Oryctolagus cuniculus: one gene and its partner. The protein of the gene in region 1 interacts with the protein of each later gene in a biochemical or structural test. Links are inferred from orthologs where the notes say so. Each region holds a gene or a part of one and is shown on either strand. Other genes may lie near its edges.

The links. The genes of interacting proteins can lie anywhere in the genome.
Region 2: of the proteins of DCAF1 (region 1) and UNG, one has a biochemical effect on the other in vitro, tested with the Homo sapiens proteins (2 studies listed by BioGRID, with this or other methods). The link is inferred for Oryctolagus cuniculus from reciprocal best matches to the Homo sapiens genes DCAF1 and UNG.

Annotation. Positions count from the first base shown.
Region 1 is NC_091441.1:98,128,985-98,133,748, forward strand, and holds part of DCAF1 (DDB1- and CUL4-associated factor 1), read left to right. Parts: intron 1-1,089; coding exon 1,090-1,288; intron 1,289-1,738; coding exon 1,739-1,821; intron 1,822-2,307; coding exon 2,308-2,392; intron 2,393-4,764. UniProt on the Homo sapiens protein: Acts both as a substrate recognition component of E3 ubiquitin-protein ligase complexes and as an atypical serine/threonine-protein kinase, playing key roles in various processes such as cell cycle, telomerase regulation and histone modification.
Region 2 is NC_091452.1:18,168,194-18,172,933, forward strand, and holds the end of UNG (uracil-DNA glycosylase), read left to right. Parts: intron 1-2,764; coding exon 2,765-2,905; 3' UTR 2,906-3,792; downstream 3,793-4,740. UniProt on the Homo sapiens protein: Uracil-DNA glycosylase that hydrolyzes the N-glycosidic bond between uracil and deoxyribose in single- and double-stranded DNA (ssDNA and dsDNA) to release a free uracil residue and form an abasic (apurinic/apyrimidinic; AP) site.

The sequences.
Region 1 (4,764 bases):
ATTGGAATTATTTAAATTATTTAAATCAGAGTATTGGGGTGATGTCTGCATAGAGTGATTAGTCCAGTCAGCCATTTCCTGGTCTGAAATGCCATTCCTTGTCACATCAGTACATAAGCAGTGTGTGTCACCTTTTGTTTACCAGAGTCCTTATGTCATTAGTGGCAATACTTGAATAATGTGTTACCACTGGAGAGCCCATGCTCCCTAACCAGGATCTTAGCTCGTTTTGTGCTGGTCCAAAATGCCTTCTGATGTGAATTTTTTAAAATACTAATTTTCTTTTTATTTGAAAAGCAGACAGAAACAGATCCATCTATTGGTTTAGTCCTCAAATGCCTGCAACAGCGGGGGCTGGGCCAGACCGAAGTCAGGAGCCAGGAGCTCAATCTTGATCTCACTTGTTGGGGCAGCGATCTGTAGAAAGAAGTTGAATTGGAATCAAAGTCAGGACTTCAGCCAGGCATTCTGATACGGAATGTGAGCATCCTGAACAGCATGTTACCAGCTGCATCAGATGCCTCCTTGAACATTGTGATTCCTTAAAAGTCTCATGGAAAGGGATCACAGTTTTAAACGTGGGATTTTTTTTTTTTTTTAAGATTTATTTATTTATTTGAAAGAGTTACAGAGAGGCAGAGGTAGTGAGAGTTCTTCTATCCATTGGTTCACTTCTCAAATGGCCCCAGTTGGAGCTGGGCTGATCTAGAGCCAGGAGCTTCTTCCAGGTCTCTCATGCAGGTGCAGAGGCCCAAGGAGTTGGGCCATCTTCTGCTTTCCCAGGCCGCAGCAGAGAGCTGGATTGGCAATGGAGCAGCTGGGACTTGAACCAGCATCTATATGGGATGCTGGCACTGGAGGCGGTGACTTTATCCACTGTGCTGGCCCCTAAATGTGGGAATTTTTGTTATTTAAATTTGTAAGTGGAGGTCCTTTTCTCTCATTTAAAATTGAAAATGAACCAGTGAAGGTTAGTGTGATATTTTAAAGAACTTATTTCACACCTATTCAAACCTAAGTCCTTCTAGCAAGTTTTCTTTTTGAGTCCCTGCACATTCTATGTCTCTGATTCTCTTTTGTTTTGCTTAGATTCCGTCCTATTTCAGTGTTCCGGGAAGCCAATGAAGATGAGAGTGGCTTCACCTGCTGTGCGTTCTCAGCACGGGAGAGGTTCCTGATGCTTGGCACCTGCACAGGGCAGCTGAAGCTCTATAATGTGTTTAGTGGACAGGAGGAGGCCAGTTACAACTGTCACAACTCGGCTATCACACACCTTGAACCTTCTAGGGTGAGGGTCCCTTCCTCCTGGATGCTCTCGTTTCTAAGATGGGTTGGTGAACTCCTCTTTTATTGGAGTTTCTTGTGAGGAATCCTTACCTCTAAAGTCTAGGTGAAATCGACTGGACTCCAAGGGAAACTGAGGAGTGTGCCGTATCAAGAGAACCGGTTATCTTTGATGTCTTTCCAAGTTTTCTTCCTCTTTTCTTTGGAGCCATTATATTTTTGTTACGAGCTCAGAAGGATTTAATGTGCTGTTAAATTTATTTTCTAGTACACTGCAGGTACATGTATTTAAATCTTAGTGACTTCTGATTATTTCTTGGCTCCTGAAAGTTGTTCTTTTTCTCTTTAATCCAGTAATGCTTTTATGTAAATATTTTAAAAATACTAATGGTAGATAGCAACATCTACATGTATATAAACCCACGTTTACCCTCCTTGGGCCTCCTTCTTTCAGGACGGGTCCTTGCTGCTGACATCTGCTACTTGGAGCCAGCCTTTGTCTGCACTTTGGGGAATGAAATCAGTATTTGATATGAAGTATGTATCTGCTTTTGTAGTCTGGTGTTCCTGTGTTTTGTTTATATAATTTATACTCCATCTATTTGTTGGACTAGAGGCCTTTTGGGAAGTAGGATGCTGTAAGTTATTGTTAACTTCTTCATTTTAGGCTTATGTTTTAATAAAATTTTATCTTTTAATTTCTAGATGCTCCTGGAAAGTATATGCTTGCCCATTTGGGCAGCAGATCCTTCACTTAACTCCAAATGGCCATCTTTATACTTTGCCAAGTTCACATGGGCCATTTACATTCTAATCTTTCGTATTTCAAAGGCACATGTGCCCTATGGTCATTTTTCCAACCAAGGAATCCCTGTCAGGGTATGCTTAGACACACTGCTGGAGGGAATGTTTTTAATCTCACTGTACAGGCGTTTCCTCTGTGGGAGCCAAGGCATTAAGAGGCTGCAGTGTGTGCAGGAGTCTGTCTTGAACATCTTGACCTCTCAGTGCTTTTGTCCGTAGGCATTCCTTCACAGAAGACCACTATGTTGAGTTCAGTAAGCACTCTCAGGATCGAGTCATAGGCACGAAGGGAGACATTGCCCACGTAAGTGCTGGAGAAACCTCTGCTTTCACGCTCACTTTGCTCATTTGTTAATTCAGAAATATTCTGGACTGAATGTGAGGACTTAGTGGGTATCTAGAAATTATAGTGATAGTCCTTCCAGTTAAACTCTAGAAGTGTATTAAAGTAGTTTTAAGTTATATAGGAAAAATGAAATAATTGACTCTGAACTTAATCTTGCAGCTTGAGGAAGATGCTGTTAGCACAGCAGATATCTTTGAGTTCTTACCAAGTTTTAGGTGAGATAAAATCCCTGCATTTTTGGGCTCATGTTAGATGGTTGGTTGCTGCAGAGGAAAAGAAAGAAGCAGTGTAAGAGGGAAGAAATGCTTGATAGTGTGGTCAGGGACTGTTTTGTTAGCTTCACTGATTGGATACTGTTTAAGCAGAGCCCTTGAAGGACTTGTGACTGTCGTGCAGGTGTCATTCTAAGGCAGAGGGAGTAGCCAGGAAACAGCCTTGTTTGGGAGCTGTGAGGCAGAAGAGGGTAAGAGCTAAGGTCAGTGATGGGTACATATCCCGTAGCATCGTGGAGGAGGTAGTTGGGACCTTTAGCTTTTCTTCTGAGGAAGGTGAAGACAACTGGAGGGTGGCAGAAGATATATGACTGGATATGAAAACCTAAAGCATGATTTGTTTCTGTGAGAGAAGCAAAAGTAGACCTTCCAGGCAGGAGGATATTGTATCATGAATAATGGGGCATGATCCAGACAGACATGCAGAGGCCTTGAAAAATGATGGGCCGTAGTCCTGAGGTTTTGGATATGTGAAGTTTGAGATTCTATTAGACATTAACTGGGAATTGAATGTACAGATGGGGAGTTGAGAAGTCTGGGATGGGGGTTAAAATTAGGAGAGTAGTGCTTATATCAATATTTATAGCTGTGAACCTGGATGAGATTAAGGGGGCTAGAGGAGAGGTGTAGGGACAGCACTTGCATGTGCCAGTGTTTAGAAGTTGCCAAATAAGGAGGATCTTAGGGAGGAGACCAGAGAGAGTGACCAGAAAGTCAAAAGGAAACCCCAGGAAAAAGACCTAAAAGCCGAGGGAAGACTGCGTTTGGAGGAATGATTGATCAGTTGAGTCAGAAATTGCTGATGAGTTGAATATAAGAATGAGAACTGAGTGGGAGCGTTGAACAACATAGAGGTTATTATATAGTTACAACTATATTTAGTTATACATAATAGTTCTGGGGCCTGGGCTGTGGTACGGTGGGTTCGGCTGCTTCTTGGGAGGCCAGCATCCCATATCAGAGTAGCAGTTCAACTCCTAGCTGCTCTGCTTCCCATTTAGCTTCCTACTAATATGCCTGGGAAGGCAGCAGTGATGGCCCAAATATTGGGACCCCTGTCACTCATTAGACCAGGGTGGAGTTCTGGCTTCAGCTTGGCCCAGACCTGGCTGTTGTGGCCATTGGGGCAGTAAACCAACGGATAGAAGATCATTCTCTCCCCCTTTGTCTCTCTTGCTCTGCCTTTCAAATAAGTACATAAATCTTTAAAATATAGGCTGTACACTGATCAGACAAAATCTTGGTTAGAGTGGTTTCATAGGAGGAGTGAAATAGACACACTGAGTATAGTTAGTTCCTTTAAATTATTTTGTTGGGATACAAAGCAGAGAAGTAGAGTAATAAATAGCTTGAGGGGAGAATTTAGCATGGTAAAGGGAGGATTTCCCTCAACTTTTCATTTGAAAATGTTACAACATACTAAAATCATATGGAAAGAATGGTACATGTGTTCACTACCTAGATTCATCACTTTAATATTTTTCCATACTTTCTCTATGAATGTGTTTTTCTCAATTTGAAAGTGAGTTACAAGCATCATTACAGAACATGCATCATCTTTTTTTTTAATATTTTTATTTATTTGAAAGGCAGAGTTACAGAGAGGCAAAGACAGAGAGAGAAGCTTTCCATCTGCTGGTTCATTCCCCAAATGGCTGCAACAGCTGGAGCTGGACCGATCCAAAGCCAAGAGCTAGGAGCTTCTTCCAGGTCACCCATGCGTGTGCAGGGGCCCAAGCACTTGGGCTTTCTTCCACTGCTTTCCCAGGCCATATCAGAGACCTGGATCAGAAGTGGAGCAGCCGGGATTTGAACTGGTGCCCATATGGGTTGCCAGCACTGTAGGCGGCGGTCTTACCCGCTATGCCACAGCGCCGGTCCCTGAACATGTATCTTCTAACAATAAAACTATTTAATTACATAGTCACATATCCAAATTAAGAAAATTAGAGTAGTTCTCAAATATCATCTAATATCCAGTCCATGCCCAGTTTTTCCAGGTGTTCTTGATGTGTTTGATTTCATATATGTTTTTTTTTTTTTTCCTGAACTAGGATC
Region 2 (4,740 bases), on another chromosome or scaffold:
AGCGCCACCACCCGCCCAGCCGTCCCACCGTGCCCTGCCCCCTGTCGCCTCTTCGTTCTTCCCCAGTCACTGCTGACGCACCTGTACACCTGGCTGCTGCGCCCAGACGCCCGGGACTGGCCCCGGAGGCTGTCCTTTCCCTCGTGCCCTCATCCGCCCTCAGCTCTGCCCCCCGGTGAGCAGCAGCTCTCCAGGCCCGCAGGATCGATGAGCCATGACGGGGCCCCGGGGTTCGCTCAGGCAGCAGGGAGGGACGTGGGTGAGGAGGGTTGGAGCAAAGGCTGCGGTAAGTGGCGAGGGGTCTTAGCTGAGATAAACCGGCTTCCCGCATCAGTAGGACGGCACTGGTGTGTCGGCTGTGGGCACACGGTCCCCTCCCCATATCCCACATGGCACCAAGCTGAACACTTTCCATGCTGACCCCTCCAGAGGCTCTGAGGGTAGGACCGCAGCTGTCTGGGGCACTAACCTCGCAGGAGCTGCTAGGGCCTGGTATTAAGATGGTAAGAGTGTGCACAAGGGTGATTTCTGATCTCCCTGTCTCCGGAAGGTTCCGGCCACGTAGCTCTCACAGCGTTGGTTGTCATTCGTGGTCTACGTGATTTAGCCTAAAAGCTGGGTTCTAGTCCCGTTCGGGGCGCCAGATTCTGTCCGGTTGCTCTTCTTCCAGGCCAGCTCTCTGCTATGGCCCAGGAAAGCAGTGGAGGATGGCCCAGGTGCTTGGGCCCTGCACCCACATGAGAGACCAGGAGAAGCACCTGGCTCCTGGCTTCGGATCAGCGTGGTGCACCGGCCACAGCGGCCATTGCGGGGTGAACCAATGGAAAAAGGAAGACCTTTCTCTCTGTCTCTCTTGCTGTCCACTCTGCCTGTCCAAAAAAAAAAAAAAAAAAACTGTAGACGCAGCGTGATGATGAAAGTGGGGTGCTGGGCTGGCATTGTGGTGTAGTGAGTTGAGTGCTGCCTGCAGTGCCTGCTTCCCATATGGGCAGTGGTTCAAGTCCCGGCTGCTCTACTTCCGATCCAGCTCCCTGCTAATGCACCTGGAAAGCAGTGGAGGATGGCCCAAATGCATGGGCCCCTGCACCCACATGGGAGACCCAGAAGAAGTTCCTGGCTCCTGCTTCAGTTTGACCCAGCCTCAAGTGCTGGCCGTTTGGGGCGTGAACCAGCAGTTGGAAGATCTCTCTGTCTCTCTGTAGCTTTGCCTTTCAAATAAATCTTACAAAGAAGGCAGGGTGCTGTCTCCAGCCCTGTGCCTCTTGGTCCTAAGCAGAGATCCACACCGTGCCTGTTACTGGGTCTGAAGAGCACATCCCATCCAGCAGCTTCCAAACTGAAACCCCGTCTCCTCCTCCACCCCATGAGACGCTGCTCCTCCACACTTGCAGGCCGTGCAGCTGACACCGTGCATCCGGGCGTCCTGGACACTGCTCACTCAGCCTGTGCTCCCCACCCCACACGCCATCAGTCCTTCATCCCACATTCTTTGTCCTCTCCTGTCAAGCCCACCCTTTCCTGACTATGCCTTTGCCCTGCGTTAGGCCCTCAGGTAGTCAACTGATGCCTCCCCGAGAGGCGGCAGGGTCGGCCCCAGCCTGCCCCCACCAGAACACCTCTCTGTGCGCCCCGAGTGCCAAGCTGAGCAAGCCTCTCACTTCTCCCTGGACCCGCTTCCATCTTTGCTTGCACAGCTGGGCCCTCTGCCCAGAGCAAGGAGGTCGTTAGGGCTCCCAGGAGCACTGCCTGGCTTGCGGTCAGCAGAGCTAACGCTTACAGGGACCGGGGCTGCTCACTTGGCCCTTCCGCGGGGACTTGGTAAGCTGGAGACACATTCCGTAGCTGCATACGGCAGTGTGGTGTCGCCTGCAGCCGCTTCCCCCGCCTACACAGCGGCTGGGGTGGGACTGGGACTTGAGCCCAGGCCATCCGGCTCAGGCTCTGCTGTGTCGATCAGAATACGCTGCCTCCCAGACAGAGACCTGAATGCAGGGATGTTTTGAAAGGCGATGATGAGCAGTTCCTATTGAAATACAGAAAAAGGGAAGACAAAAATGGCCACAGCCTCCATACACAGATAGCTACAAGTGACCCCAAAAATCAAGAGTACAGGGGTGCCTCAGTGAACACGTGGGAAGACAGAATTGAAAGTTTAATAAACTCTCTTAACCCCACGAACGTTTGGAAGTCCCCTTGGGTTCCGTCTTTGTGGAGAAGTAACTCCAGTACAGAGTATAGAGTCTGTCTTCCATCGCTGCTGTTCCTGAAAGGAATTCTATGAATAGTGTCTTGGAGACTTTTCCAGGAAAATAAATGCTGGTGGATTGTTATTTTACCCCCGCTTGATAAACGGGAGGCGTCCCAAATCGGTGTGTTGGTCAGGCCACGTTCTAGTGGCTTCGTGGTATTCTGCAGCTAAGAACCTGAGGACACGGGTGTGCGTGGCTCCAGACACTGGGCTTGCATGTGGCTTGGGCTGGTAGAGGCAGTGCAGGGAGCGTCCCGCGTCCCGGCGCCTGTTAGCAAGTGCAGTCTGCGGGGGAACTGCACGATGGGAAGGGCCTGGCCCTTGAGAATGGCATAGCTCACGCCAAACGGAAGGCTGACCCCGGCCTCCGTGTGCGGAGAGCTTCACAGGTAGGTGGGTGCTTTAGGTGAACAAGCAAGAGGCCTGGAGTCCAGCCAGAGTCGGGGAACTGTGCCCCTGCCTTAGGGTGCACAGCCGTCTCTGAAGGCCCCAAACCTGCCCTCTTGTCTTTTCCAGAAGCGGCACCACGTCCTGCAGACGGCCCACCCCTCCCCCTTGTCGGTGTACAGAGGCTTCTTTGGCTGCAGGCATTTTTCTAAAACCAATGAGCTGCTGCGGAAGTCTGGCAAGAAGCCCATCGACTGGACGAAGCTGTGACCGGGACTGAAGGCGTGGGCTCCGGGCAGCTGCTGCCGACAGTGCTCGCCCGCGACCACGTGGCATTGCAAAGCTCCCCATTGCTAAGTACTGTGTGCGGGGCTGCCCTCTGACCCCTGTCTCTGCACGTGACCCCTCCAGACAAGACCAGACGAGAGCCTGAACCAAGGCAGAGGTGGCCTTGGGGGAGACGTGCAGTTCCCCCAGAGGTACTTGCTTCCTCGGCTCTCTCCCCGCCCCGGGTGGGGACGGCGGGCCACGTGCGCTTTTCTGGTGGCCCGGTGCCTGCTGCTGCTGCTGTCCACCTGGCAGGTGCAGGTGCTGCATGTTTGCTTCTAAAGGCATCCTGGTCTCCGCCAGGCACACTGTCCCCGGGTCTTTGAAGGAGCCCTCGTCCTCTCCAAGTTTGAGGATGCTTTGCAGTTTCTAGAAGTCTGGCTCAGAAATGGGCTGTTTCCTGATTGCTCAGGTGGTGTCTCTTGGTTTCTCCCGTTACCTCGACTGTCTAGAAGGGGTGGTGGGAGTTGAACCGGGAGGAGGAAGTGGGGTGAGGGGTTGTGTTGGTTTTTTACCAGAAGGGGTGAGTTTTCTCCCGTTTTCCTGCCGTGGAGTTTAAGGCAGCAGTGACTGCCACGTGCTGTTTTTTTATGGACTGAAGTCACTGGGATATTTTTTCTGTAACACTGGAGTTTGTTTTTTTTGTTTGTTTGTTTGTTTTTTTAACAAATATGCTTAAGCAGAGATATTTTTCAATCCTTTTATAAAGAGATGGTCTTTACTGAGTGTGCGCCTCCATGCCTGATCTTGTTAGCGATGCTGTTTTGAGCTGGGTGAGCGAGTTAGCCTGCACAGGTTTGCTAATAAAAGGTTATTGAACTTTTTGCTCTGTGCCTAGCGTCCTTCAGTGTCCGTGGGCCACCCTTGTGCTTGGAGGGAGCACCCGTCCCCTCCCCCCACCCTGGTCCCCTTGGCAACAGCCACGCCCTTGTTAGCCTTCCATACCTGGCCTGATAGGAGAGAGGAGGCTGGAGCTGCACCCGACCCAGTGCTGTGGGCAGCCCGAGTGGGGTCAGGCTGCTGCGCCCCAAAGAGTACAGCTCCGACCGGCAAAAACACGCCTGCAGGAACTTGCTACTGACGTTCAGACCAGCAGCTACCTTGCTAACAGGTCAGGGATGTGGGGACCTCACCTTAGATTATTCTATGTTTACTTGAGAGGCAAAATGACAGGGAAAGACAGATAACTTGCATCCACTGGTTTAGTCTCCAAATACAACAGCCAGGATCCAGGAGCTCCCCCAGGCCTCCCACGTGGGTGACAAGTACTCGGCCCCTCTTCTGTTGCTTTCTCAGGTGCACTAATAAGCACCTGGGTCAGAAGCAGAGCAGACAGAATTTGAACCGGTCCCGGGATAGCTGATGTCATGGGGGCATTGCAAGCTGCAGCTCGACTTCCTGTGCCTCAAGACCAAGGCCCTGGTTAGCTTTGGACACCACAGAGCTCTGCTGAGTAGGGAGGGAACAAGAAGCCCAAGTTGCCATAGGGAATTCAGAAAACAAATGATTCTCTAAAAATAGATGTTAAACTTTTAGAAGTAGTAACAGGCATTCGTAGTCTAACTTTTTTTTAAATTTTCATTCTATTTGAAAGAAATATCTATTCACTCACTGGCTTACTACTCCCCAAGTGCCTACAGTGGCCAGGGCTGGGCCAGGCAGAAGGCATAAGCCAAGAACTCCATCTGGGTCACCCGTGTGGGTGGCAGGGACCCAAGTACTTGAGCCATTGTCTGCTGCCTCCCGGGACGTGCATTAGCAAGAGGCTGGGAGAGAAC